Linked DNA regions of Yarrowia lipolytica. The protein of the gene in region 1 interacts with the protein of each later gene in a pairwise test. Links are inferred from orthologs where the notes say so. Each region holds a gene or a part of one and is shown in the gene's direction. Other genes may lie near its edges. The genes, in order: YALI1_D16981g, YALI1_C10860g, YALI1_F24079g and YALI1_E04060g.

Region 1 (7,428 bases):
TTGATGTATCACAACTGTCTCTTCAAGCTGTATAGGGGTACAGTATGTACTTTTCAAGGTACAGCATGTGTTGTATATACTCCAGAGGAGGTACTTTACGGTAGTGCTAAGACCTCTTTTTCTGAAGATGGAGCATCGGAGACTTCGGAACATGTAAAAGCCAGCCGTGGAGCTTCAATATCGCAACTGTCGGGTTCCCAATCTGGTGTTGCTGGTGGACAGTCACCTTCATTGCCAGCACCTATACAACTGCAAGTACTTGTACATAAGAACTTGTAGATTGATAACTGATGTTATGATCAAACTGTTCGTTTGGGTCTTAGCAATGTTCATTATACTTGTAGTTACAAGTACACACACTTGTGAGATGTATTTTGGATGGGTATAGCAACATATAACTGCTTGTACAAGTACTCGTATTCTAAAGAAGTTCCACGGACCTTCTATAATCGCGTTTGTACTCACATGTACTTGGACTTTTATGATACCCATACTGTAGATACTTGTACAAGTACAGTACAGTACTGGAAGTAGAGATTCTTTGAAGGCCAGACGTAATGAAATACTGGACAATCACGTAACTACTTGAGTTGGGTAGTAAAGATGCTGTAACCAGAGCCGTAATGGTAATCGTACGAGCCACCGTTGTTGGACTGACTGCCTTGAGTACCAGACTCGTGGTTCTTCTTGGCCGACCTTCAAAAGGTTGACGGGGAAAGGTTCTCTGAAGCACGTCTGCGAGCTTCCAGGTTGCACGCCAGGGCGTACACGTCACGCAGCAGGCATCGGTTATCGGCAGACAGGCTGGATTGGAAGGAGTACAGAACGATCTGGTAATACACCGAAAGACCAGCGATAACACAGAAGTCTGTTTCTTGGAAGCGGTCGGTGCATTGCGGTGGTCATGGACTCATGGATTCATGGACCCATCTTGCTTCTGAACAAAGTCATGACTGTATCACTCTCTAGAATAGTATATCCAGCCAGCTCGAGCAGAGTCACAACGACCAGTGTGCTCTAGATTGCCATTTGCACCTGAAGCATGTTTGAGAGAAGAGACAACGGTTCAAGTCAGTTGACAGCAGGGACTTCTCCCCAAGGCCATAGAACCACCAGAAGTGGGGTTGGATGTTGAAGAAACGTTGTAAGCTCCATACATGAGACTGAATGAGTAGGAGCACCTATTGTGATTCCTGCGAACTGGAGCCCCGATTGAGATATCTGAACCACCACTGCAGACTAACAAAGCAATTGATACTCCGTACTGTGCTCCCGTACCGTAATTCAAAAGCGGAAAACCCAGCATTGAATCAGCAAGTCAATGGTGATTGAAAACATCATCTGATATCACGAGGTCCCTATGGCTCATGACAAGAGGTGGCCGAGCACTTGTAGAAATGAGACTTTAGAACAATGAAAAGATATCAGATTGTAAGTGCTCAGGCAGTACCCTCAGTTTATAGCTCCGGAAAACTTTCGTAGAACGCTTCTCACTCGCCTCATCGACCGCTCTTCCCATTGCCATCATCGACAGCCCCCTCACCCCTTGTAAGCCCCCCACGTCAATTCAACATCGCCATTGTCCCTCCTCCATCGCTCATAACTCCTCCGATTGAACCTCCTCCAATTGCTGTCCGGGCCATAGTACCAGCCGTCGTTTTCATGGGCAGGCTTGAAAGCAATGATGGTGGCAAAAAACATGACCAGCGAACACAAAACCACATACATGCACAACTTGGACACGGCAGGAGACCGCCAGATGAACTTGTGTGTGTAGATACACAGACACAAAGACATAAGCCCCCATAGAGAGATGAGTAGAGGGATTAACACGTCCATAGGTATATCATCGTTGGCATTGTCGTATTGGGAGTCGAATTGTTCGTCGTATAGGTTGTCGTATCGATCGTAACCATCGTATACATCATTGCCGCTCAACAGGTCATCTTTCGCAGTACTTGTACCACCTCCATCGCTGACTCCCATGATGATGATCCAAATGCATCCCACCCCACCATACTTTGCATATGTATCACTGGGGTTAGGGTAGAAGCAGGTAGTGTCGGGGTTTCGGGTTGGTTTTGTGGTTGTTTCGGAGGTGGTTTCCGGCTGTTTCTGGTGTATAGTTATTTTTTGAGATTTTCTGGGATTTGTGGGAGTCTTGGAGTTCTGTATGATGATTTCTGTGTATTTTGTGCTGCTTCTAATTACAGTGTATGTTTGAGAGCGGTTCAATAAAAAACAAAATACCCAATAAATCAATAAAAACCACATAAATACAATATTAGTATGAGAAAATTCGGCAAAAACTAACGGATATTCTCCAAACTCCTTACGGTCACGTTATCTCAAAAATGGTCGTTTCGGAAACATCCCTCCATATATGTCTCGATAATTGGTGCTAGTGGAACCATAATTGAGGTATTAGTTAAGGGAAAGTTTTGCGAGACATACTGGGGGTTTTGGTGAGTTTTTGGGGGCGGTGTTTGGTGTCGGACGCGTCGACATGAGCTCAGTATCAGTATGGACGTGTCTGATTGGTTGAATTGTAAGAATGTGCGGAGTAGTGTGCAAAATCGATGAAGACCATAAAACATTGAAGAAAAAACTGACAAATAAAATTAAATAAATGAACATAAAATAAATGAAAATAGATTAAAAAAAAAAAAAAAAAAAAAAAAAAAAAAAAAAAAAAAAAAAAAAAAAAAAAAAACACAACAACCCACAAACGCCACAAACGCCACAAACGCCCACAAAACCACCCAAAACCGGCCACGAAACCACTTGCAAAAAACGAAGCAAATATCCACCCTACACTTGTATCTCTTGTCCGTTGCCAAGACCAATAGGGCGGAAGATTAGTGTTTAGGATGGGGCTGAGAATGTCAATGATAAGCGATGGGGACTGAAAAACGCGTGTGGAAAGACGGGGAAAAATAGGAAAAAATGGAGAAAATTGAGGAAAATAACGAGCAGAATGTATCCATCTTTTCGGTATTTTCATTTTCCTTCTCAGACCATTACTCGTCGCTTCATTCCGATGCGATTGTGGCACATGTCTTGTTTAAGACAAGGTGATGCGGTGCATAAGTGGGGCCCTGATGGTCCCCCGTTGGAGTCTTGGGGGCAACCAAGGGCGATTGTTGGAGCCGTCAACGGTGCTTGATGACCAGGACCAGCAACACCGGCTTTTTTAGTCGCCGAAAAGCCGAAAAACCCGGCCCACTTTGCTCCGCTCAGCCATCGTGCCATGCACTCATTCTTACATGCGGCATCACTGTCTCACGTATAATTGCAGAGTTTGATTAAGCTGTTATCTGGTGGAGTATGATGCTGGAGCGGATAGCTAGCGGTATCTATAGACGGAGAGTGATACAAGTCGTGCGGCTACTCAAAGTCGGCATTTGGACGACTTATATCCCAGACGGGAAGGCGTCACGTGATACCACTGCTTGGTGTTTCGTCTCCTCTTGTGACGCAATACGACTTGCACGCACGATACCCAACTGTCATCTTACCATACATACTGTACATCACCACCACTAGCACGACACTAAGAGCATTAGCAGGACGATAGCGGGCTTTTTTTGGGTGGAGAAAAAATAGCAAAAAAAAAAAGCGGCGCGTGCGACGACAGCAACGATATCTGTCGTCTTTGTTTTGGGCCGTTTTGTGTGTGCTTTGTTGCCACCGGTGCCGGTTCACCACCTCCGCAAAGGTTACCCGGCTGAGACATTTGGAGCACAGGTTGGTGCGTCACGCAAGCTGGTCTAAACACAGTGAGTAGCAACACACACTACATTATCCCACCCACTCCACGCCACGTGTGGTGACCTGTTTGCGCCATGTCTATGAAAGGAATCACCAAGGGCATCGCCCGAGCGCCTCAGTCGTTCAAGGCCAAGTTCAATATTGGGGAGCAGACCAAGGATCTGGTCTACATTGACGCCGAGAGGCGGTTCAAGGAGCTCGAGAAGGAGACCAAGAAGCTGCACGAGGAGTCGAAAAAGTACTTTGACGCGATCAACGGCATGCTGGAGCACCAGATCCAGTTCTCCAAGGCGATTGAGGAGATCTACAAGCCCATTTCTGGACGGCTGTCGGACCCCAACGGAGCCATTCCCGAGGGCAACCCCGAAGGTATCAGTGCATGCGAGCAGTACCGTGAGGTGGTCAACGATCTGCAGGCAACGCTCAAGCCCGAGCTGGAGATGATCGATTCGCGAATCATTGGCCCCGCCAACGAGCTGCTGGAGGTGATCAACTCGATTCGAAAGATGGCCACAAAGCGTGCCCACAAACAGCTGGATCTCGACCGACACAACAACTCGCTGAAAAAGTACCAGGATAAGAAGGAACGAAGCGTCAACGACGAGAAGAAGATGTACTCGGCCGAGTCAGCCGTCGAAATCGCCCAGCAGGAGTACGACTACTACAACGACATGCTCAAGGAGGAGCTGCCGCAGCTGTTTGAGCTGGAGGCCCAGTTCATCGCTCCTCTCTTCCAGTCCTTCTACTACATGCAGCTCAACGTCTTCTACACCCTCTACATCCGCATGGAGGAAATGAAGATTCCCTACTTTGACCTCACCAACGAGGACATCGAGGGCGCCTTTGCTGCCAAGCGGGGCGACGTTGCCGAGCGAACTGAACAGCTCTCCATCACCCAGTTCCGAGTCGGACACGCCCGTGCCAAGCTCGAAATGACAAAGCGACGGTTTGCAAAGGACAAGGATAAGGAGGCCGCTGCAGGAGCTGCCCCCGTCGCCGGTGCTGCGCCGCCCGCTTATGGAGGCGAGGAGGCCGCCGACCCTGCTGCAGCTGCCGCTGCCGCTCCCGCCGCGTACACCGCCACCGGCTACCCCAACGAAAAGGCCGTGTACACGCCTCCCGGGGCTCCTGCAGCCGCCGCTCCCGCAGCTGAAACCTGCACCGCCCTGTACGACTACGAGGCGCAGGCTGCTGGCGACCTGTCGTTTTCCGCCGGACAGGTCATCACCATTGTTCAGCGAACCGCTGACACCAACGGTTGGTGGACGGGTATTGTCGGGGGACACCAGGGAGTGTTTCCTGGAAATTATGTTCAGTTGAATGCGTAACCGCAGCGAGCGAAGCGAAGCCAGGTTGTTTGTGATCTGGCCTTGGTGGTGAGCCTGAATTATGATTTCACCGCCATCACGGAACTGCACTTGAACGGGCATTTAATAGTAATGAGATATGTATGCATTGGTTTTGGTAGTGTAGGAGTTGGTAGGATATGGAGCTCTAGAACAAGTATGTGTCTAGAGTGAATGGATATGTCCCTAACAGCTTCAGACTCAAGGAAGATGACAGAATGATCTGATACCACGAGCAAGAACACACTTGAGACATGATGACATTGAAAGTCGATTCAAGGTGTGTCCATTCTACAAGTAGTTGATATGTTAGGAAGTATGGGACTATTTTAACGAGAAATGGAACTGCTCGAATGATATGATGAAGTCTGTGCGAGTCCACGGGTCGTATATACTTGTATACTCTTCTGGATGCTCATCCAGTTGCCCTCCTTTCCAAGAATTACATACTGGAGCACATAGTGTAGGTACATGTAACAAATAATGCCTTCTAACAAAAAGACAAGACAAATTAATGACAAGGGATGTCTTTTCGGGACTTGCCAGGTGACTATGGAGTTGCTGGCGGTGTCCACGATATCTGACGATGGACGAATGTAGTCGCATCACTCATGCAGAGATAATGCACCTCCGTAGAAGATCGTTGGGTTGGTGGAACGAGTGGGTTTGATGTGGGGTTGGAGCATGGACAAGAGTTTGAGGTGATGGATTGAGCAGTCCAGTTTTTCTGTCAATCTTGGGTTTTTTTTTCTTTCATTTTTTTCCCATTTTTTTTCAATTTATCTGATTTATTTTGATTGTGGAAAAAATCGGAATAATTAGTTAAAATACTCTAAAACACCCCATGGCACGTCTGAGGCTCCGCTACAAGTACGTTCATGATGTTCACGAAAGGTAACCGTCTTTCTTCGAATACACCGATCCCCACTGCTTCGACAAGTTCTACATCATCGGGTCATGTTTCACCGAGATTGCTGCTCAGCTGCCACCGACCCCCGTGTCTCTCAGCCCCTTGTGCAGCCGGTGGAGCAGCGCAGCCGCTTTAATTAACTGTCTTAATGCGTCGTCTTTCCGTCTCCAACAGTCTCGAGTCGGCGTTGCTTTTTTTAGCGCTTCATAACTGCTTCGCTCGCTTCGGAACAAGCGTGAGACATATTCATAGATCATCACAATTAGGGGTATAAATAGAAACATTTTGAGACAGGTGAACCAAGAGATTGACACGAGGATTGACAGAGGTGATACAAGGGCTCAAATGGAGGAATACGACCCGAGTGTGTGTTGGGTCAGCGTACTTGCACGATACAGCAAGTCGGTACAATACCGTGCAAGTCGGCACAATACCATGCAAGTCGGCACAATACCGCACAAGTACCGTACAAGTACCATACCAACATCTTCCCCAAACAATAAGTCGGGCATGTGGAGTCAAAGATACCGATGATTTCGCCACCCACGTGACAGTCATTCCACAGTTGCTTCTCTGGGCTTGTTTAGGACCGTCGTATACCCGATCAGGATGATGTATACACATGGTTCTGGGTTGTAAATCTGCTCCAAACGCGGCCATGTCGAGATGTAGCAGTCGGAAAGGCGATCAGAAAGCGGCAATCAATTCAGCTCAGTCACAGGACCACAACAATATCCCGTCCGTCCCCGCAACTCCTCCCAAGATGCCCCCACAGCTGTCCTTCTCCGCTTGTTAGTGTTGCTATAAAATTGAAAATTGAGGCTAAGCAGGTCAACCTAAACACTAACGTTTAGTTATTACGGGACGAACGAATGTGGAGTTGCACAAGTGGCTCTTCTCGGGGGGCGAGGAGCAATGGGCATGGGAGGGGGTTTGAAGGGTCCTCTCCGTACCCCTTCTTGTGTCTGAGGGGGGAAGGCTGTGTGCGGGTCAGAGGAATGGGAGTTGGTTGTTCGGGGCGCCTTTCCCAAAAGAGCTCCAGAGCTCGGATCGGCACAAAAGTAGCTGCGTTGGGTTCGTGTGCGTGTCAGCAATCCAACGGTGCCAATTTCCGCGAGATCCGGGGCGGTATTTCCCGAGCTTCGAGAGCTTCGGGAGGCGCAGTATGGACTTTCCTCTTTAGGTTGGGCTAGCATGTCTGGAGTGTGCATTTTTATTTTGACGTGGATGCAGTGCAGTGGCGAGAATGACAGTTTGGGGCACGCCACGACGCGACGACAGGGGCCGAAACGGCGGACAAAACCGCAGACCGGCCGCGGCAACCGTGTCGCGCGCAATGTCGGTGTTTATGCCACTTTTTGGCCCTTTGATTTGCCCCTAGAGCGGCGTTTGTTAGGCTCG
Region 2 (6,754 bases), on another chromosome or scaffold:
GCATAAAATGTGGGCCAGGTTAACCAGTTACGTGAAGACGAGAGTCTTAGTCGCTTCCTGTTGCAAGAAGTGAGCTGGATGCGTAGTTTGGGGAGAATATTATGACAAATCACTATTTTGATCCTAATATAGAGTATCAGATGAGATAATTGGCGGTTAAAACCAACTTTATCTCGAAATCTGGGCTTCTCTATGTCATTATATGTGAAGTATACTGCCCTTCTTCTGCTGACCTAGAGTAACCACCACAGAACACCCTGCCCGGTACAAGAGACCTCCCACAAAGTCCCCTTGAGTACCACTCCAACCCTCCAGTCGCTCTTATTCTCCACCCGGAGTCGTGTTATCTCTAACTTGGTTCATTATGGACTTCCGGCTCTAGTGATTCCTTCTGCATGCCGAAGTCAACTAATGTCAAGTAAAGTTCAACTAAAATAAGAAACCCATAAAGCAGGGACTTATCTGGAAAATTACGCATGGCTCGACCAGAAGTTGATATTATCGGTTTCAAAGCTTCAAAGAGTTTCAATGTGACCCTGACATATGTTTATGTCATATAACACAGCCTCTTCAATCCACCTTTTTGTCACCTCCATTAGCCGAACTAGAAGCTAGAAGTTTTTGATCCGAGATGGGTCATCTTTTGTAGACATACGCAGATCTAGTCAAATACCGATCTGATTTAAAAAATAATTCCTCCATGGACTCCTTCTGGTAGGAAGTCGTCATTTGAAGCCAATCCGTCTTGTTCGATACTCAACTACATTGCTCATGACGGGTAAAACAATTGAAACACTGCCAGGACCCTAAGGATCTGCTAGACCAGCATCAGCATCACCTCAAGGTGCAGGGTCATAGTTCAGACTAGGCAATAGCATGTAGTATGACGTCGTCGTTCGGCTGATGTTACGTGACTGCAAGATATCTGACACCTGCGACTCCTGTAGGTACTGTAAGGTCTTGACGTCTCCTTGATGACAGACCTTCTTGCTGTCTTAGATTTATGACATGTAACCTACTGTAACAGAATATTTGTAAACCTGCCTGGTCTTTGTTCAGGCTGACATCTCCCGGGCAGCAACAGTCCACCACCCTAGCCCCCACTAGCTCGATTGTTAGACTACCGGGCGCGCCTAGGGTGATAGTTGCATTATGAGGGTCGGAGAAGTCGGCGACCTGTCACGTGAAATTGGATACGCTTCAGCTTCTCAGCGTAGTATTGGTTTGCCTGTGTTTGAAGTACTGGAGGAGTGAAGTTTGGGGTATGTAGAGAGGTTTGAATGCTGGAGATCAATGAAGGGTTCAACATGGTGACATAATCGGCTCTTAAGTCTTTTATTATGATATCATTAGTACAAATTCATACATATTAGATTCACACCTTCATCTGTAGGCTACAGTCACGTATCTGTAGTGCACTTGCGCCCGCACTAGCATAGGACCATCTCTAACATGTCTCCGCTTGTCCACTTGTTACTTCTCTTGCAAAACCAGTCGCCTTCTATTTGCGCAACTTGTAATCTCGGCTTCCGCTCTTTGTCACCTCGTAAACCTGACCCATCCCCTTGGTTGCCTCGATCTAGCGTTTCTAAAGTTCTGCCCCCGTTGCACCGCGAAAAATCGCCCTTTTAGCGTGTTGGATCGAAATACTACCCTGAGGAAGGGGTTTGGAGTGGAAGCTGAGATTCGAAAGATTGGAAACTGCCTACTTGCACCTCTATTATAGGCTTCAAACATGCTATGATGGTCTGTTAGTGATTCGCGATCCAGATGTGTAGACATGTGGCTGTTTGCGTGACCCAATTCCTGTCTTTCAGATCACTTTGATCAACTGTGCCTGCCATTGAGTCCACATCTACGACCCTGGATAGACTATCCGTGCGTGCCGCCCACATTGACAAGCTGCTAGCGTGTTTTTAGCGGAGGATGAGGCTCAGTTAGTGGAGAAGGCTAATCGGGGAAAGATCACGCGTGTGTCCGAGGACGAGAAAGTCACGTTGGAGGCTATCAAAGATGTTCCCTAGATCATTTCATCTCGACTAATTCAATCTCCGAACTCGGATTTAGGATAGCTCTTCTGAATCCAAAGTTAGACCCATTCTCGCAAGTCTGTCTCCGAACAATCTGTCCCTTACCGCTAGTTTCAAACTAGTGAGAAATAGTGGGAATCTTAGCGGGAGCAAAACGCACTTATTTAGAGTGCTCCACTTAGTGGGTCTAGGCAGTCTAGAGTTAGCTGCCTTGGTTGTTACAACTCAGCTCCACATACACATATTGCAGGGTTGTAGCATGATATGGAGACGACTTGGACCCAGGGACGCAATGATATATCACGCGATGCATATAAAAGGAAGCTAGTGGGATGTGACAGATCACCTGATCTGACGTTTTCTTGTGACTCCCTGTCCTCCAATGCACATGAGAGCTCCAGGTGCTAAAAATCGTTCCTAGTCTAGTTAGCCGCCGTATGTCTACTCACAGCAGACTAAGTAAGCTACATCGTTGTAGTTACTTTGTATATGCAGAAAAAAATAGGCCGAACTGAGTTGACCAACTAAAGTAGCGTGGAGTTTACCAATTGTGGGGATAAAGAGAAACAGACAACGGGAGCCGCTAGAGCCCTTTTGTGACGATGAAGAGCCCAAAGGAGAATCAGGGTCGCTTGTTATTGACTCACGTGATGCTCTTCTGAAACCGGAACTCTCAAAAAGAATGAGCAGAACAGGGGGCAGGTGCAAGACAGACAAACCGGCATGAGTTTCCAAGATACGACCTCAGGGGTCAACAAGGCTGTGCCCTGTGGGTCCAATTTCCTACGGCCTGAAATAGTGACTCCATTGTGTTAGTGTCATAAGACAATCAGTCTACCCGGCAGCACAGTTATGTACAATATAAGGGTCTGGAGAGCCACATGGGGAAGCACTAGGCTTGAGTAGCTGAGCTAACCATCTGGGGTTGCGAGACTAAGTAAATGAACGTCCAATGATCCGATAATGCAGGCTTGTACTGGAGATGTGGGTGTTTTTACCGAGCTGGGTCGTAGTGGTTGAATATGAGCCGAGGTGTTTCAAGCAAGGCCAAGGGTACAAGCGGGTCATATTGGTCAGGGACGGAGAAAGTCGACCTAGAATCTGTCTAGAACTTGTTAGTACAGTACCTCTATACTTCTTTTCATCTTCTCCACTTTTGACAGCATGTATATGTTTTTGAGGGCTCCTTTGAAGGGCTCCACCATCCCTGGCGTCGTGTACAAGTAAAAGTACAAGTATCTAATCTAAAGGAGAACCTTTTAAGACCATTTTGGTTTCCCTCATCTCATTTATGTCGAAATGGATCACTTTTCAACTCTCTCACAAATTATCTCGAAATCAGTCTATACACAGTCCATTGAGCGCTCATACTTGTACTTGTAACAGGACTGTCTGGAGACACGAAACCACCGAAACCACAAAAGTCGCCAGGAATGGGTTCCAATATTGATTACTAAGCCAACATATCGTCCTCCGAAACCCCACTTGCTTCTTGGCGACTCTTAGATCAGTATTGCTCAGCCCTTAGTTTCATCCTCCTGACTGTAGAAGATAGCACTCCCAAAACGCCTCCCAAAAATACTTCTGCAAACTCTAAAAGTCAGCTGGTGGGTAGTTATCTCGAGCTGCAGACATGCCCCAAGGAAGCAGAGACCACCAGACGATTCAGAAAATGCACTATATTTTAATGGTACACTAACTATTATACTCTCTCACCCAAAAACAAGTCGAAATCTCCACCTCCTCCTCCTGTCACTCATTTCAAATTGCCACCAATTTAGATTCCCCTAACCCTACGAACATAAGCCAGATGGACTCCTTGGCTTGTTGATCCCCAGTCATAATCTGTGATTGGAGAAAGATTTTGCTTAGGTAACTGCGTCATGTGATTAATCACGTGATTTAGAGTCGTTAGTGGGAAAAATCGACGTCTCAAGCTCCATTTTCGCATCTGAAAAGTGCACGTCCAGTGCGCTCATATGCTGCGCTACCCCTACCCTAATTAACTCAGTCCCACCTTATCTCCAAACCACTCACCACTACACTCGGCATACACGACACTAACAACCAACACTACCATGAGCTGGAATGGATTCAAAAAGGCGATGAACCGGGCGGGCACGTCGGTGATGATGAAGACGGGCCACGTGGAGAAGACGGTGGACCGGGAGTTCGAGACCGAGGAGCGTCGATATCGAACCATGGAGACGGCGTCCACCAAGCTGAACAAGGAGGCCAAGGGCTTTCTGGACTCGCTGCGAGCCATGACGTCGTCGCAGACGCGAATCGCAGAGACCATTGATGCGTTTTACGGCGACGCTGGCACCCGGGACGGCATTTCCAAGTACTACTTGCAGGCTGTCCAGGAACTGGATGCCGAGACCGTCAAGGCTCTGGATGGCCCCTACCGAGAGACGGTGCTGGATCCCATCACGCGATTTTGTGCTTACTTCACTGACATTAACGAGGCCATCAAAAAGCGAAACCACAAGCTGATGGACTACGATGCTCTGAGACACAAGACCAAGAAGTTGATTGAAAAGCCCAGCAACGATGCCGCGCGTCTTCCTCAGGCAGAGAAGGAAGAGCAGATGGCCAAGGAAATGTACTCTCAGATCAACAACCAGCTGATTGAGGAGCTGCCCCAGCTGATCGACCTGCGGGTTCCTTACCTGGATCCCTCGTTCGAGGCTCTCGTCAAGATCCAGCTGCGATTCTGTACAGAGTCGTATACCCGTCTGGCGCAGGTGCAGCAGTATCTGGACGCCAGCAGTCGAGAGGAATACGCTAACGGCCAGTTGGACGCCAAGGTGGAGGATCTACTGCAGAACATGAGAGAGTTGAGCATTACTAGTTTGGGAACTAAATAGGCTCATCGAATTCATACAATGAATGAGCGGGCCTATTGAGCAAACTCATCTGCTTGTAGTGAGTGTGCCATGGTCTGGTAGGCTGTTGGCCGGCAAGACGGTTTTCGCTAACCCATGCGTTTGGAAGCGCAGAGTGGACGAGTATGTATAATGAATATATGATAAGCATGAAGTCGAAGGGATAGCGTGTTTGACCGAGAGAGTGGTATAGACGAGGACTACTGGTTGTTCCTTTGCTCGTCTTGCTGTGGTTGTTATTAGCAGTGTTGAAAGGTTGATCAGCTGCTACTAACAAGCCATTTGCAACTTTCATGTTGTTCACAAGGAGACCAAGAAAGACTCACAGTCGAACGTTGGTGTTGTTCGAATCGATGTCTCTCTTTGTTGTGCTTTTAACAGTCTTTGGACAATGTTTAGCGTATCTATCTTTGGAGCCAGGATTGAAGATAAGAGCGGCACACAATAGAACTAACTAGAAGACTATAACCAGAAGATACGGTCCACGAGTGGTCTCTTGGTCATTCAAGTCTTGTAAAAATTCCTCATTCGAACTTTTAGCTGTAATCTAAGCTCTTTCTGGCCCCACTTACCACTATCAAGCCCATGATAAGCTAGAGAATTTACTACAAGTACAGAACTGGTACAGCGTAATGTAGTAAACTGTTAATCTAGTAAATCTTCGGTTAACCAAATATCGAGGACAATATTAGCCCAGAGTGTGTGAAACAGCTAGCCTGGTTCTTGTATAGGAACGAATAACTAGGCCAAGGACGTATAGCAATTTTAGCGTGGACCAAATTACCACATGGTGCGGTTCTGAGACTGCAGTATGTCACAAAGACTTGTCAATTGAAGAACTGGACTCTTCTTTAGTTTCTAGCTACCTTCTAGAAGTATAGATTGTTCCATGGAGGGTCTCTAGTCTCTTCGTCTTAGTAGTTATTGAGCTGTATGTACAGCAACAAGACCAGTGTTCTGAGAGGTCTTGGTAGAGGAAGAGTTGACATTACCATTTAGTCATGTGTTAGGGACATTTGTGCACAGTCCTACTGACAGCTATACTCCTCAAAATCTCTCCCCACACCATGCTCTCTTTTCAATACTTCCTGTTTAACTTTCGTATAGCGCCGGGAGCCAAGATCTACTGTGCTGATAGAGCAGGCTACTGCAACGGAGGGGAAGTAACCTGAACACACGTGTTTCAAAATCACCTGATTATCTCGAGTTCCACGGAAGTTTTTTGCAAAGACGCTCAACTTTGGGAGAGACTAGTACCGGTACGAGAAGGTCTATAGCCCACACCACTGGGCTAGATTGCTCGCGGACTGAAAGGGAAGAGAGAGAGTGGGCGACACAAGGGAGTTTTTTAAACTGAGGTTAACGCTCGTTTTCAACATTGTTTTGTACTTTCATACTTACTAAGCCATAATACGGAGTGATGGTGAGGATTCATGTCAGTGTCTGGTTGGGCTTGCTTTCTTTAGACGTGTTTCACAAGTAGGGATGGTGCTCCAGGGAAGTCTCATGAGCAATGAGGTCATTTTGTTGGCCAATGAAACTTCTCCAAACTCCCACGGAGGTTTCATGTTCGTCCATCTATGCTCGGTTTATCATATTCACCGAGACTACGCACCACACTGACACATGTAGATAGCCCGATCGGAGAGCACTGACAAGACAAAGAGTCTATAGTGCGAATATGTTACGGAATTACTTCCAAACAAAGAAGTCTGTGAGTCCAGTTAACTTTGGCAGAGACCCGGAACATGCAAAAGTCAGCTCCTCGTATTGTACTGTAGGACTGTATGGTCACAGCACTACAACCTAGATACGATCTACATGCCATACACTGAC
Region 3 (7,948 bases), on another chromosome or scaffold:
ATATTTTGGTATTGTTTTATTATGGGTCAGTAAACGATCCCTTTCATGGGCTCCGACCTCAGCGGTCGCTGCTTCCGATCCTGTTATGACCACAGCTCCAGTTAGACTTTTAGTTGATCAAAGGTCCTCTATCGCGAGGTTCCTGAAACGCGAGGGAGAGAGAGCTGGAGAGCTACAAGTATCGGGGTGTTTCCGTGTTGTCCATGTGCAAGTGTCTCGTTTCGGGGAAATCTGGGCGTTCATGGATCAACTTTGTGGGTATACCGTTACTTGTACTTGTACTTGTACAACTATTCCACACGCAACGATGGCTAAGTTGACTGAGCATACCCCCCCTGGCTGGAAAATGGCGACAGTACAAGTACAAATACAAGTACAGGTACTTGAGCACACTAATGACGTGTTGAAAGTGTACTTGCACAAGTACGTGTAACAGACATCCTACATTACTCCACCTACACGGCCCCCGACTTGTCGACACCCCATCGTACTCGTACGCCCTTTCCCATCCTCTTCACATGCACCAGGTACATCATACAGTACAGTACCTGCGGAATGAAACCCTTTTCAACAAGCGATGACGCATGTTTTGTTTTGCCACCAACATTTGGGTTTCTCAAGTCCCCGCTTGGACCAGCTGCACTGCCATAGCTGGAGAGTACATGAGAGAGAGGAAAGTCGCTGGTCGATGCAAATGACATGGAAATGCGGAGTAGCCCGAGAGCGAGGAAAAAAGACGAGATTTCGTCGTGTTTCGGGCGGTCGGAAAAGTCGGCTCCGATGTCCCGAAGAGCTTAACACATCTACTCCAGCTCAGGTTACCCGGCCGCATATTAAGCGACAAGAAATATTTACAGATAAACCCAACCACCCTGTACACCGTGCCATAGGTGGATAACGGCACCACAGTCTGTTGGCCATGCCATTTTTCAAGAATCTCGTCCGATTTACTCGCGACGTCACCCGGGACTTTTCCCGCACCGTCCACGAGACGTACGAGAGCCTGGCTTTCAACATCTCACTGAGATGTGAGGCCCGACTCCAGGCACATCGTGAGGTGCTGTCCTATGCCCGGGCTGGCCGTCCATTGACGTTCCGTCAGAAGTTTGACATGTTCAGCAAACATCGCCAACATGCCCGTCGAATGCACACCCGACACTTCAGCTCAAACAATTGTGCGCGTCACATTAGCCGTGTATTCGAGAACGGCTACAACTACCAGCGAGCACCGGGCTGCCGAAGGCGAATCACCTACCCCCTGGCAGGCTACGCGATTCGAAGAGCCTTTAGTTCGGCGTTCGAACGCAAAGATACTACATGCAACTTCGGCCGAAGATTGTACGCTACAATGGCCATGCCCTGTAAGGGCATCCATAAGCTACAAAAGACGGCCTTTGGAGGAAAGAGCATCGTGGAGGTCACCTCCCAGCTGAGAGTGCGGGAGCTAGATCTGTGCTCCGCTGCCCAGGAGTACTTCCCCCGATATTTTCTTCCCGTCGAGGTTGAGTCTGTCACCGAGGAAGAGTCCCTCTTCCAGTCTTCTTCCTGGGTCGCCTGTCTGGAGCCTACTTCCACAGGCACATTTGTGGACTTCAACTTTGCTCCCCAGCTCTCTCTGGAGGCGGAACAGCTGACCACAGAATCCCTGGACCAACTGGAGCGAGACTTGCAGGCCTTTGTCCAGGAGACCAAGGTGCTTCTCAAAGACATCAAGACAGTGTGCGCCTCTCTTGGAGAGCTGCCCGTAACTGTCAACAAAAACAACGTTCGTGTTCACTTTCCTAATGCTGATGCTGAAAAGGTCAACATTATGCTCAAGGACATTGGCGTGACCCGAGGAGTCATCACCGAGGAGGAGTCCAGTGACTCTTCTTCCGAGTCGCTCATGTCTGCCAGCGTCGTGGAAACCAACTGGAACGAGTTTCTGGAGGGCTCTCGTCTGCAGCCTGCTGTGCAGGCTCGAACTGAGGCCATTTCTGTTTCGGACCTGTGTTCGACACCTCCCTCGCTGTCCGAGTCCCCGTCCAGTGCTTCTTCTTACTCTCTGAGCAATGAAAGCTCCCAGGAGAACACTCACATGGACTCTTCTGTTGAGATTGTCAGTATTTATTAACTAATGAAAGGATTACGAATGATTTAATCGATACTGTAGTGCAGTAGTCTCAGCCATATACTGTCATCACCGGTACAGTACATACAGTACATACAGTTCTTCTATCGCTGATGGACCGTATTAACTTATCTCCGCAGCTTCACACTCGGAACATACTGTGCGCCATTCAGGTATCTGAATGTAAAAGACTGTACAGAAATTAACTGGAGCTAATGTGGGTACCGTCTTTTTGGTCCAAGATAATTTAGCACTTTATGTCACCGACCCATTGCCACAAATCACACGTCTGGTGTGTCATTAGTGAGCGATTGGAATCACGAGTTTTTTTTTTTAAGCAAGTATCACCAAACAAGGTCCCTGAACTTGTACCTGAACCTCTGGTTTAACAGCAAGCAATTACAAGTACACCGCCTTTATCTTCGACACGCGAAATAAATCAATTTCCGACCAATTCAATTAGTCGCACTCGGACTTAACACCCTTGCCATGGTCTGGGCAACTATAGTCTGTTCAGTTTGGGACTCCATCTCCGAACTTCACCGGCTGGTACATAGGATACCACCATCACCGCACCTGAGACAATAAATTAAGGTTTGGGTAATCCCTCAGGCAACGGGACTCACACTGTCCAGCGTGACCATGCAGGAGGTACCATCAACCTCACTACAAAGACGGAGCACACCGCACACCACCCCCCGACCATGAGTGAAGTGAGTAAGGAACACAAACAGGCGCAGCCAACGCAATTGCGCACGCCCCCGAAGGTCCGCCTCTCGCCACCGAGCCTCTGACTTCACACACTAACCCAGAAACCTGAACTTGTATCCGAAACGGAATCTGAAGACGACCACAGATACGAGGACACTGAAGATGTTCTTTTGGGCTCAGAGGATGCCCCTACTAGTGCAGCAGCCGAAGAAGTTGCTGGAAACACATCGACCATCTCCATTGGCACTGCCAAAGCCGACGACGATGAACTTCCCGCCACTCCCAAGCCAACTTCGCCCACGTCACTGAAAGTGACACCTGGATCTTTCCCTGGAGCTGCGGGGGCAGATGAGGACTCCACCACCACGCCCTCGGCCACGTCGCCCTCTGCTAACGTTCTCAACTCCGACGGAGAATCGCTAACACCTGGCACTTTCCCCGATGCCACATATGACCAGACCCCCTCACCCGTATCATCGGCTCCTCCTCCTCCGCTACCCCATCGGCCCGCCACCCACGGCGACGGTGGAGCAGCCTCTGCTCGAGGAGAAACTCCCCCCACACTTCCTCCTCGGCAGGGAGCTCCCAGTCTGCCACCACGAAAGCGGTCAGCCTTCTCGTGGTTCCTGGGCAACAAGAGCCAGACCAGTCTCAAGAGCGAGGACAACATCACGGCACTGGCCAACAGCCACCGTGCCAACGCCCAGCCCGCCAAGGTCGATGAGAAGATTGTGGCCGAGGGCTACGGTCTCATGTACAGCCGAATGCAACAGAACCAGGACAGCCTGAGTGAAAAGGAGGAACGGGAGCGACAGGCGGTGTTGCAGGCTGGCGAGCTACTGCAGGAGGACTTCCGACAGTTGCGACAGAAGGAGTCGCTGGAAAATCCCTTCATTGACTGGGACTTTTGGAGTCGGGTCATTGAGGACTACGCAACCGTGGCTAAGGAGCACCCTAAACAGCTCAAGGAGGCTATTAGCGCCGGATTCCCCACAGAATTACGGTCTATCATCTGGCAGATTATCACAAGCTCTAAGAACGCTGCTCTGCAAGACTTCTACACTGAAATCCTCAAGGAGAGCACTCCCCACGAGAAGGCCATCCGACGAGATCTGTCTCGAACGTCGTTTGTCATGGAGACCTCTCCCGACTCTCTATACAACGTCATCAAGGCATACAGTCTGTTTGACCCCGAGGTGGGATACACACAGGGCATGGCGTTTGTCACGACCCCTCTGCTGCTGACCCTCAACGAGGTGGACGCTTTCTGCCTGCTAGTGCGGCTGCTCAAGGACTACGAGCTCAGAACAATGTTCCTGCAGGAAATGCCCGGACTGCATCTGAAGCTGTACCAGTTTGACAGGCTGTTGGAAGACCAGGTCCCGTCTGTGCATATCCATTTGACCCGCCAGGGAGTCAAGTCGTCCATGTACGCCTCTCAGTGGTTCCTTACGCTGTTTGCATACAAGTTCCCTCTATCAATGGTGCTACGAATCTTTGACATCATCATGACCGAGGGTATCGAGGCCATTCTCAAATTTGGAGTGGCTTTGATCCGGAAGAACGCCGACACAATTTTGGCTCTCAAATTCGACCATCTGCTGCCCTTCCTCAAGGAGTCTATTTTCGACGTCTATAGAGAGGGGGCTGGAGATGTGTTCCGAGTCAACGAGTTTGTGCGGGATGCCATGGACGTGAAAATACACCCTCTGTTGCTACACAAGTACCAGGAGGAGTATCTCGAGATCAACCGTCTTGAGCGGGAGCGATTGGAGGAGGTTGAGGCTCTGCGACTTGCCAACGGTCAACTGACTCTGCAGGTGCGACGAATCGAGTCGACTCTGGTGGCTCTCGAGAAGGAGCATATTGAGGTTGCTAACGAAATGGTACAGGGCAAGGTCAAGCTTGCATCTCTGCAAGACGAGAATGAGACTCTGAACATGCAGGTGAGCGAGATGAGACGAATCACTGGTGACGAGGATCTTGAGGCTCTGATGGATCTCAGACAGGACAACGAGCGTCTGGTTGCTGAGAATGAGCAGCTGCAGTCGCAAATGACGGAGATGAAGCAGGAGCTCGACGAGATTCGGGGAAAGCATGGCGAGCTTGATGCCCAGCACACCAATCTCAAATCCAAATGGGGCGACATGCGCAAGCTTTTGGATGCCATGCCCCAGGAATAGCTAGCTACGTAACATAACCAAGCAATATTATATTTAAAAGGCAAGTGCAAGGATGTGATATACTAGTACAAGTAGTTAGCTACATGTGCCTGATTGTGTTGTACTGCTACCGCCCAACGCACATGGACAACAGTATACAGGTATGCGAACACTCGATGCCCTCAATTGAGGGATCTGTCTCCTCTTAGGAGTCCCTTCTTGGGCTCCTGCTTGCTACATGTGTTTACATGAGCAACTACTTGTAGCTAGTCGATTCCATGAACGCGGTCTTTTCTTTGTTTACGGCTTGTATTAGTTGGCAATCTAACGTGCCTGTGACATCACAAGGCTAAAATCTGAGATTAAACACCATCCCGCCAAAAGATGCGCATATCAACAAAATGTGGGGTACAGTACATACCATGCAGCTGACCTAGCAAGGGGCTACCAGCAGTAGCTCCTTTTGTTTGTGTATGTGTGGGTGTGTATTTATATAGGTCTGGGGAGTCGTATGTTGCGCGTCATCTCTCCCGAATGTCTCCTCGCCAGTCCACACGTCCCAAGCATCCTCGAATGAAGTGTCCTCACTGTCCTCTGGACTTCTCTACCCCCCAAGAGTTTGAGCTGCATATTGCTACTGATCACTGACCAAGATACGACTATGCCATACGATACAAACGGACGTCTATAAGCACAGCACAGTACTTGGACTTGCCGGTAAAATGAATACAATTAACTAAATGAGTAACACAGAATAATTTAAGCAAGCTCCGCCGTGTGAAGGGGAGTGAGGTTGGCGGTGTGGTGGGGCTTGTGCTGGTAGTGAGAAGTGCCGCCAACTCCAACCTCGTGGGCGTAGAGAGGAGGGGGCTTGGGAATGTCCTGTCGGAAGAGGTGTCGCTGGATATTCACCTTGAAAGCGTTGAACTGGTACTTCATGTGCACTCGAGTGGGCACACCAAAGACCTTGTCCAGCTCCTCAAGAGTCAGGTTCTTGGTTTCAGGCAAGAAACAGAGCACGAGGAAGAAACCAACCACGTTCCAGGCAGCGTACCATCCAAAGGCTCCCTGTGGAGTGAAGGCAGCTAGAAGAGAAGGCCAGGTGACAGCCAGCACAAAGTTGAAGAGCCAACAGGTGGCAGTAGCAAAGGACATACCTAGATCTCGAATGTAGAGAGGGAAGGCCTCGGCAGAGTAGGTGAAGGGAACTGGACCCTCTCCGCAAGAGTAGACGGCTGAGAAGAGATAAATACCCAGAGCAATACAACCGACTCGAGCTGGGGAGTTGGTGGGGTCGTCCTGGTCGATCCAGAAACAAAAGCCTGCAAATAGCAAGAAGATGGCCATGAGCGGGAAGGTAACTAACAGAAGCGCTCGTCGACCAAACGTATCAATGGTGTAAACAGCTGGAAGTGCAAACACAAAGTTGATGGCGCCGAAACCAAAGGAGGCAAGAAGAGCCTGGATTTCGCCGAAACCGGACTCCATGAAAATGTTGGACGAGTAGTAGGCAATCACGTTAATACCGCAGAACTGCTGCATGAACATGACGATGAAGGAGGCCCAGGAAGCTCGTCGGTTTCGAGGCACGGTAAAGAGCTCGAAAAATCGGTTCTTGCCGCGCTTCAGCTCCTCCTCTTCAAGCAGCAGCACGTGTGCGTAAAACAGGTCGCGAGCGGCCTGGACTTCCGAGTTTCGAATGACTCGCATGCACTCGTAGGCCTTGGAGATTTCTCCTCGAGCAAGGTGCCATCTAGGAGACTCGGGACACCAAATGACCTGGACACAGACGAGCAGGGCAGGGATCAGAGCAGAGCCCAGCATCAGACGCCAGTTGAGACCCTCAATGCCGTGATCAGGCACATAGTAGAAGGCCAGGTCCATGACGTATCCCATCATGATTCCAAAGGCGGTCCACATCTGCCACATCATGACCATGGCTCCTCGAATGGTGGGGGGAGCGCATTCGGCGGCGTAGACGGGAACAGTGGCAGACTTGGGTCCAATACCGAATCCAAGGAAGAATCGGGCAATGAACAGGTGCCACCAGTTGTTGACGAAACCGGACCAGAAGCACGTAGCTCCAGACCAGAAACAGGTCCAGAAAATGGTCCATTTTCGGCCCAGCAGTCTATTAATGGGGTCGGTGAGCCAACAGGAAACCACGGCACAACAGAGGTAGGGGGCCGAGTTGACCAGACCAAGAAGCCAGGTCTTCTGAGACACCACACCGGCCTCCTCCTTGATGCCAAACTGAGCAGGGAAGATGATGTTGGCTCCGTTGATGACAGTCTCGTCCATACCCTGGACGGCCGCAGCCAAAGAGCAGCAGATGACAATGTAGTAGACCTTCATGGGGTGGTCCCACTTGTGGGTGATTTCTCGTCTCAGCCAGTATCGGTCATTGTCGTCGAGAATGTCAATGTTGTCAAAGTTGGCCGGGTCTTGGGCCACTAGAGCGCCCTTTCGGAAAATGTCCTCCTTGTCGCCCATTCCGTTTTCCTTAGCAAACCCAGACGCGATTTCCAGCAGCTCATCGCGGGTGTATCGAGACAGCGGGTTTTCGGGGTCGAGATCAGCGTTCAGAGCGTTCCCAGGAGGTAGCCCTTCGGCGTGCTCGTTGGAGGGCTTCTCATGGAGACCGTTGTTATCGGAAGTGTTGTCTGAAGCGTCGTTAGTCTCGCTGGGGACCCTGTCGATCCCCTCGGTACCGCCCTTCTCGGATGGATAGGAAGACATGGCGAACGACGTATCGAGTATGCCATTCTAGAGAGAGAGATCGCCATCTATATATAGTTGTCAGAAACATAGCAACGGAATAACCAGCTGCAGCTACGAGACCCGGCAACTGCATGCAAAGTAGGCCCGAAGTCTCAACCAGACAAGACTTACCCTCCAAAATAAGGAAGCCGGCCAACTCTACCTACTCGCAACTCTAATGATCTGCTCGAGGACTACTCCATCT
Region 4 (7,558 bases), on another chromosome or scaffold:
GCTGTCGGCTCTCACTCGGAGTGACTCACTCGTCCAAGTTGTATACGAGAAACGCTTCTACCCATTGCAAGTGTGCTTTGTTTGAGTCAGACCCAGCAGATCAATTCACATCTCAAGTTGGGACATCGTACAGTATCGTGCGTACTTGTACGGTACATACTCACTCACTGGTACTACAATGTATCGTATAGTGGTGTCCGAGAAGTACGGTAGCTACTTGTAGAATGGTATTTACAGTACCGGGGTACAAAACCTGCCACGATGATAGAACGAGTACTGGCACTGTTTGATTATGTAGCTTTATTAAGTAACTGGAGCGCTAAATGGACAGGCGTAAAACTACTATGACACATATGATACTTGAACTTCTCTAATCTCATACCACAAAGCGTACCGTACCGGTACTCATACCAAATACACATACCCTACCCGTATTGTACATTATTCAAGGGCAGTTGTGTACGACTCATTGAATCAGACATCGCACTGACCTTCATTTACGTCATAGTGGACCTTGCTACGATACTGTGACTCTACGTCGCCGTACAAAGCTTCACGGACCCAAAGGTTCGTGTTTGAAAGTCTTGTGGAAGTGTTGAAAGCGTGTCAGCGTGCCCCGATCAATAGCAACATGTCTGTTTTGTCTCTGTTTGCCTCTGTCCGGAGCCTTGACCGAGGCTTCCTACTTGTAATTAATTGCACATGGTGTTCGACCGCAAGCGCGTAGCAAGAGGCGAATCATACCCTCAATTGAGCACTACGGGTAGTGTAGTTTAAACGGCCAAAGTGTCGGCTTCAGCTATCTTAAAGATTCTGAACAGATATATCCCCTGACGCCTCCCATCCCCCCTCAGACGTTTCGATTCTCACGAGTTGCACGTGAACAAAGCACGGTGGAGCTCGGGAGAAGTAGGAGCCTCGGAATGTATCGGAAATAACATGTGCGTTTTTCAGTTGCCCCTCTAGAGGCCGAGGCTAAAGATGCCTCCAGAATGCATTGTTCGGGAGGTACCGGGACATTGAAAAATCAGTCATCCGAGTTTAAACGGAGTTTCACGTTGGGGAGCTCAGAGCATCCATTTTTTGCTGGTAGCGTGTAGAGAGGGGCGTTAATGCGAGGTTTGGTCATAGGGGAGTCTTTTTGTTGGCTTTCAAACCGGTCCAAAAGTGACTCGCTCTCGGGATTTTCACCCAGATGGCACAACATTTGGGGTCGTCCGCCGCACCCCACATCTCATAGAATTTCGTGTAGGCATAAACTTTTGCTCCGTTTAGCAGAAGCAAACAGTGCTGCTGGTGTTGACCATGTGGTGAAGTTGAGGTCTGAAATAGCACAGTCGTTTTGTTATCACTCCAGAGTAGTTATAATCAGCTTTGCCCACCTTCTTCGACCCACTAAGCCACTCAACATTCACGTCTACTGACTCGGCTTCCCCACTAGTCATGAACCATATTCCGTAGCGTTGAGCTTAAAGCCATACGCAGGTCAAGTAAGTAGAAATGACGAAACCAAGGCCGAGTAAGAAAAAACAAAACAGAGCAGGGGGTTGCACCGTTGGGAAAAGCTGGTACGTGTGTAAGTCTGTGAAATATTAGGGCTCTGTATCTGATGTATTAAAGCTTCGGCTCCTGACTATCTCTTGAAGCATGTAACTAGAACACTCCCATCGCCACTTATCAATCCTTTCGACCCCAAGCTATATGCACTGCACCCGCATCTCTGCGGCACTAGCTTAAACAGCCCGGTTTCCGGTTGTCAGAACCCATTTCTCTAGAACTTCTCATATTCCAGACTTGTCCAGCCAAGGAGAGACCCACGCTATTATCTTGCGACCGACGCGTCAGCTCCCTGAAAACAACCTACCACGCTCCTTCTACAAGCTCTAGCTCCCAAAGACTTGTACGCATCGCAGTCATACATTCCAACCGACCATTCTCAGCTGAAAACAGATTGCTCCAACCCAACTCCAATGGAGAAACCCGTGGTGATTTCGCAACGGACGGGCAAGCCGAAGCGAAGAAAGGCCCACCGAGCGTGTATCCACTGCCAACGAACCCATCTGACATGCGATAACAACCGACCCTGTGAGAGATGTGTGGCCCGAGGATTCGCAGACACCTGTGTGGACGGTGTGCGTAAGAAACTAAAGTATCTGGACGACAAGGAGGATAATAAGCCCAGTAAAGGCCTGTCACCTGCCCCTGGTGTGAACGTACAACCAAAACTGAGCCCAGCAACTCGAAGTGCTCGCTCTAGCTCTGCAGGCTTCCCTGATACGAAGGGGAACATGCAGCAACAACATATGGGTAATATGCCCGTCCCCAATACCCCTCAGAATGGACATCCGAACCTAGGAACACCTGGCATGGCCCACACAAACTTGCAGGGACCACAGCGACAGGGTGCCCAACAACCACAGGGAGGCCAGTCAAGTACTCCGTCACAACTTCCTGCAGACTACCTTATACACCAGCAGCTTCTGGCGACGGAAATCAACCAATTAGGAGACCTGGGAAGAACTGGAGAAGGTGACTTTTCGTCAGACTGGTTCTCGGATCTGCAATTATCGGGACACTCGTTCCAGTCCGTGGCTACTAATATGGAGTATTCCATCCTGTCAAACATGGTGTACTCTTCTGGTCAACCAAACTCCGCAGTAAGCAACTCTTTGTTGCTCGGAAACAACTCTCAGTCTCCAAACACTCACTCGCCACATAACCAGGACCAGCCTACGCCCCAGGCAGCTACTCCCTCAGCTAAGATCAAACAACTCATTGAGTCTAACGGTTTGTCGGCAAAGGATCTTAACCAATACCCACTGGCTGGAGAGTTCGTCAATGATACCTTCTTAACTGTGCCTGAAATTGTTGCGTTTAACGAAACTAGGCGAAATGTGAAGGACAGCGAGCTGACTACTGACGAGAAGTTGAGGCCTCTTTCGTTTGCTGTAGCAGCTGGCCAGCCGCAAAACACCAACGGCAATGGAAACGGGAGTGAAGCTCCAGACTCGCCAAGCAAGTCCATCTTCTCTTCAGGTGCTCTGGAAGCTGTCTACTCCAACTTACCTGACTACACCGACCCTATCCAGGTCTATACTAACATCACAAAGCCATTCAGCTACACTCCTGGATACCATGGACTCATTTCTTATCTGAAAGGCCGTTTCAACAAACAGCAGCTCGTCCAGATGACTAAGTATATGGCTGAATACAGACCCTCTTTTATTGCCTGTACCAACTCGCTGAAAGAGGAGGACCTGGTGTTCATGGAACAATGCTTCCAGCGAGCCCTCCTAGAGTATCAAAAGTTTATTTCGTTTTCTGGAACCCCCACTCTTGTCTGGAGACGTACTGGTCAACTAGCTGCTGTTGGAAAAGAGTTCTGTCAGCTCTCGGGTTGGTCTGAACAGCGTCTCATTGGTCAGCAGACCTTCATCGTAGAGCTGCTGGACGACAATTCTGTCCTCGAGTACTTTGAGCTCTTTTCTCGAATCGCTTTTGGAGACTCAAGAGGAGCTACTATGGCCGACTGTACACTACTTACACCGACCGGTGCTAAAATCAAAACATCCAGTATCTGGACCCTAAAACGGGATGTCTTTGGCAACCCCATGATGATTGTTGGCAACTTCCTGCCCATCTTGAGTTGATATTCCAACGAGATACTTCGGCAACAGGTTGCTTAATTTATATATATAAGCTATTTATTTCACTGTTATGATCTATGTAAAACAATACGACACTTTCAAAGACATTGTCACCAGTACAAGTAGCTACGGATGGGAATCGCTCAAACATAAAAAATATATTAGGTATCTACTGGGCCAGAATGGACTTGACGAAGTCAACGTAGTTGACGTTGCCGTCTCGAGTAACGTTGACTCCCTTAAGGAGCTCATCAACCTCGGAATCAGACATCTTCTCGCCCAGCGAGGTAAGGATGTATCGCATCTCGCCGACACCCACGAACCCAGTGGAGTCCTTGTCGAACACCTGGAATCCCCGGATGTAATCCTCGGGCTCACCGAGAGACTTGAAACCGCTTGGTCGGTTGACGATCTTGGAGAAGGTCTCGTAGTCGACTGTGTTAGTGCTGATGGAGGGGGTGGATTTATGCTGGTAGAGGTGTGAAAGAGCGAATCTAGGCATACCCCATCTCCCCTGTCGTCATAGAGACTTATGTGATCGCTTCGAGGTTACCGTTTAACGACCTTAATGAAGGAATCAATCACCGGAACATCCCTTGACGGGCAAGTTTCTGTCACGAGAGATCCAAACACGTTGTGATCACGATATAAGTGATACGGGTTCCTCGAATCTATACCCCAACACGTTGAAACCGCCCAATTTATCGCAGTTGCATTTCGCTGGACCGTGACATGTTTCGGTTCATCGTCTCACACACCACACCGTGTTCCATTATCGGCCCATCACCTAGATGCTTGAAAATATCTGTAGTATACTCACACTCAGCGGGAATGGTCTGCTTCAGATCATCAATCTCAGCGAGGGTGGGGTTCTGGCCCACAGCTCTGAGAAGATCACCGAGAGCTTCAGCAGGAATCTTGCCGGTGCCCTTCTTGTCGAACAGGGAAAAGGCGTCCTTGAAAGATTTGGAGTTTTGCGACTTTGTTAGTGGTGCCATGATGATTTGAAAGAGTGCAACAAGTCTCTCATTTCTGAACTCACCATTTGTAATATTTTTGTGTGTAGTTTGTGTTGATGCGTTCTGTCCCGTCTCCTATTCCCAATGTACACAAACATAAACAAACCGCAAATAAACTTGACCTAACCCTAAGATTCAAGCTTTGGACACGTGAGTGCGTGTGTCTATCGTGTTACTGAACCCTTCGTAGAGTGAGTCCTATAGAGAGATTTGAAAATGTACATTGGTATTCAGACGCTGTCACGAGTGGTTGCCTCCATTATTCGGGTTGAATCCACCATCAAACACGAGTTGTATTTTTAGCGCGGATCTCTTGTCGCCATGGAGACTGGCCTGCACAGCCGAGAGCATGAATTTTTACCATTTATTACCGGTAGCTACCCTTTACTGTAGGCAGGGGTGTGTCGTTATGGTGCTGTAGGTTCATGGGCTGTGAAGAGATAATACAATTGGGAATAGGTCTCAGCAAATGACATCTTGATACGAATCCCGTAAAACAGCCTAATGATAAAAAATAGGAGTCAAGGGGTGAACTCACCAAGACTGTAGCTTCAATCATTCTCGGCCCTGTTAGCCCCTTTTCTTGATCAACTGACTGATCTGTGTACTTGTACGATACTTGGGCTGTACATAATCACGTTAATTAGACAGGCTACTGTACGATACAAGAGACACAGCCGATGTATGTGAGAGGCGCTGTATATAATAACGGTCTCTCTTTCCAGCGATGGTCTGTGAGATGTCAGTCAGTCACATGGTGCCGTCCTAATTTTTCGTTTTTGAGTAGCTCATTATCTTGCCGGATTCAGTCATCTTGTCTGCTACAATACAAAAGCACATTCGTAAAATTACTACAAGTACAAGTAGTAGATCCCCTTCTCAATTTCGTGAGCAGGTCTATAAGCGCATTCATGCATAATCGCACCTTAATTATTTTTTTTTCTCCTCCGTGAACACTAAATGGAGGACCACAGCAACAAGTGCACTATAACGTCTGCAATCACCGATCTGCCACCATGTGCCATCCAGATTCAACCTGATGATGCATCTATCATCTTTGTGGCCACTTACAAGCTGGAGGACGACCGAAGTCGAAATGGTACGGTCGATGTCTACAAGCTTGAAGACGACCAGCTGAAACTGCAGCAGAGCTGCCGAACAAACTCATCAATCTTGGACCTCAAGATTAGCCCCTTCGACCACTCTTTCATCTGCACCAGTCAAAGTACCGGAAACATCATCACATGGAGGTGGGACGGTTCTGAGCTGACTCAGCAGAAGTCCTACCAGCTCTTTGATGAGTCGCTGCTTGTGCTCTCTATCACGTTCAGTCCCACTTTCAATGATCTCATGGTAGCCACTCTAACTTCCGGTGAGGTTGTTCTCATTCGTATCTCAGACTCCGAGCTCAAGATCGACCGCTCGCTGCATGAGCACTCTTTGGAAGCTTGGATTTCGTCTTTTGGAGGAGACGAGTTCCCCAACTTGGTCATGTCTGGTGGAGACGATGCTGCCCTCATGATTTCGGATCTTCGGACACCTCTGTATGAAGACGGTGAACAAGAACTGGACTACAATAACGGCGTTACCGATACGATATCCAACAACCGAATTCACCAAGCAGGAGTGACCTCAATTCTGCCTTCCTGGAGAAAGTCTCATGGCGCTCAGATCTGGACAGGCTCGTATGATGATACTCTGGCTTGCCTTGACCTCCGAAAGACAGGCATGGTTGCTGTTAACACCCGATCAGTAGTTTCGAGACAGGAACTTGGCGGTGGAGTCTGGAGACTGCTTCCCAACCCCAAGAACGTCGATACTGTACTCACTTGTTGTATGTACAACGGTGCCTTTATCCTTGATGCTGCAGGTGCAACTGAGGAGGAACCTAGCTCAATCGTCAAGTACTACAAGGCAGGCCACGATAGTATGGTATATGGAGGAGATTGGTCTCCCAATGGCGATTACGTTGCCACTTGTAGTTTCTACGATAAGCAGCTGCGAATCTGGAAGCCTTAAGACCTCGGATTCTGATTCATCCATTTGCGCCTCTCTTATGAGACACAATGTTACAACTAGACCAAACAAATACTTCACAGTAGAATAGATAATATGTACATGATTTAAAACTTGGGGTTGGTGGAGTGTGTGTTTACTTGAAGGACACATTGGGCTCGACCTTGACGGCACCCTGTTCCTCAAACTTCTTCAGCATCTGTTCCTTGTTGTATTCCATGGTTCGCTTCTGCTTGAAGTAATCGATCCAGCTGGCGATACAGTCAGCCTCGTACTGCTTCTCCTCCTTAGGGCACTTGGCGGTGGCCAGTTCGCTGTCCTTGATAGCGTCCACGATGTTATGCTTGTCGAGACAAGCGAAGAACTTGTCTCGAGAGTCCCAGCAGATCTGTCGAGTCTTCTTCTTGGTGAGGTCCTTATCTCCTCCGGCGGGGCCCACAGAGGCGGTTTCTTCGGTCTTGGTAAAGAGTCCCATTGTGATGTATGTGTGATGTGAATGTGCGTTTGAATCGACTGCTAAAACTGTGGATATATGCATGGAGGCTTGGTTTAAAATTCAGTCACGTGACTAGTTATAAGAACAGCGCAAAGAGTTGAATGTGTGGGACATACTTAGGTATGTATGTTTGTTTATTTACGCTGAAATTTTCAGCGCCGCTCTCATTATGTTGCCGTTGCTATAAATTCATCTATGTTGCTCTTAAACTTGCTGTACTCGTAATTCTGTCTTAGTCAGACAACATAGGGTATAGTATGTACTTCTATGGCTCTTGACTCGAAGTAGTCCTGGTAAGATAGTATGCGGATCAAAATCATTTTATATCAGTAATTTTACAATCAATTAAATTGTCTATGCTATCGGCCGCTCTCTATGTA

What was found.
Region 2: the proteins of YALI1_D16981g (region 1) and YALI1_C10860g interact in binary tests that used the Saccharomyces cerevisiae proteins (3 or more experiments, as listed by UniProt). The link is inferred for Yarrowia lipolytica from reciprocal best matches to the Saccharomyces cerevisiae genes RVS167 and RVS161.
Region 3: the proteins of YALI1_D16981g (region 1) and YALI1_F24079g interact in binary tests that used the Saccharomyces cerevisiae proteins (3 or more experiments, as listed by UniProt). The link is inferred for Yarrowia lipolytica from reciprocal best matches to the Saccharomyces cerevisiae genes RVS167 and GYP5.
Region 4: the proteins of YALI1_D16981g (region 1) and YALI1_E04060g interact in binary tests that used the Saccharomyces cerevisiae proteins (3 or more experiments, as listed by UniProt). The link is inferred for Yarrowia lipolytica from reciprocal best matches to the Saccharomyces cerevisiae genes RVS167 and ERT1.

Annotation. Positions count from the first base shown.
Region 1 is NC_090773.1:1,694,589-1,702,016, reverse strand, and holds YALI1_D16981g (uncharacterized protein), read left to right. Parts: upstream 1-3,845; coding exon 3,846-5,099; downstream 5,100-7,428. Other genes in the region: YALI1_D17011g (uncharacterized protein), read right to left, coding at 422-804, 861-906; YALI1_D16997g (uncharacterized protein), read right to left, coding at 1,540-2,274; YALI1_D16990g (uncharacterized protein), read right to left, coding at 2,519-3,004; YALI1_D16959g (uncharacterized protein), read left to right, coding at 5,962-6,000, 6,058-6,237. UniProt on the Saccharomyces cerevisiae protein: Component of a cytoskeletal structure that is required for the formation of endocytic vesicles at the plasma membrane level.
Region 2 is NC_090772.1:1,083,380-1,090,133, reverse strand, and holds YALI1_C10860g (uncharacterized protein), read left to right. Parts: upstream 1-4,108; coding exon 4,109-4,900; downstream 4,901-6,754. UniProt on the Saccharomyces cerevisiae protein: Component of a cytoskeletal structure that is required for the formation of endocytic vesicles at the plasma membrane level.
Region 3 is NC_090775.1:2,402,952-2,410,899, reverse strand, and holds YALI1_F24079g (uncharacterized protein), read left to right. Parts: upstream 1-2,814; coding exon 2,815-2,823; intron 2,824-2,922; coding exon 2,923-5,004; downstream 5,005-7,948. Other genes in the region: YALI1_F24099g (uncharacterized protein), read left to right, coding at 920-2,113; YALI1_F24031g (uncharacterized protein), read right to left, coding at 5,743-7,722. UniProt on the Saccharomyces cerevisiae protein: GTPase-activating protein which accelerates the GTP hydrolysis rate of YPT1 and SEC4. Involved in ER to Golgi trafficking and polarized exocytosis.
Region 4 is NC_090774.1:400,442-407,999, reverse strand, and holds YALI1_E04060g (uncharacterized protein), read left to right. Parts: upstream 1-1,970; coding exon 1,971-3,650; downstream 3,651-7,558. Other genes in the region: YALI1_E04033g (uncharacterized protein), read right to left, coding at 3,817-4,082, 4,468-4,645; YALI1_E04023g (uncharacterized protein), read left to right, coding at 5,627-6,685; YALI1_E04007g (uncharacterized protein), read right to left, coding at 6,819-7,220. UniProt on the Saccharomyces cerevisiae protein: Transcription factor which regulates nonfermentable carbon utilization. Activator of gluconeogenetic genes like PCK1. Involved in restriction of Ty1 transposition.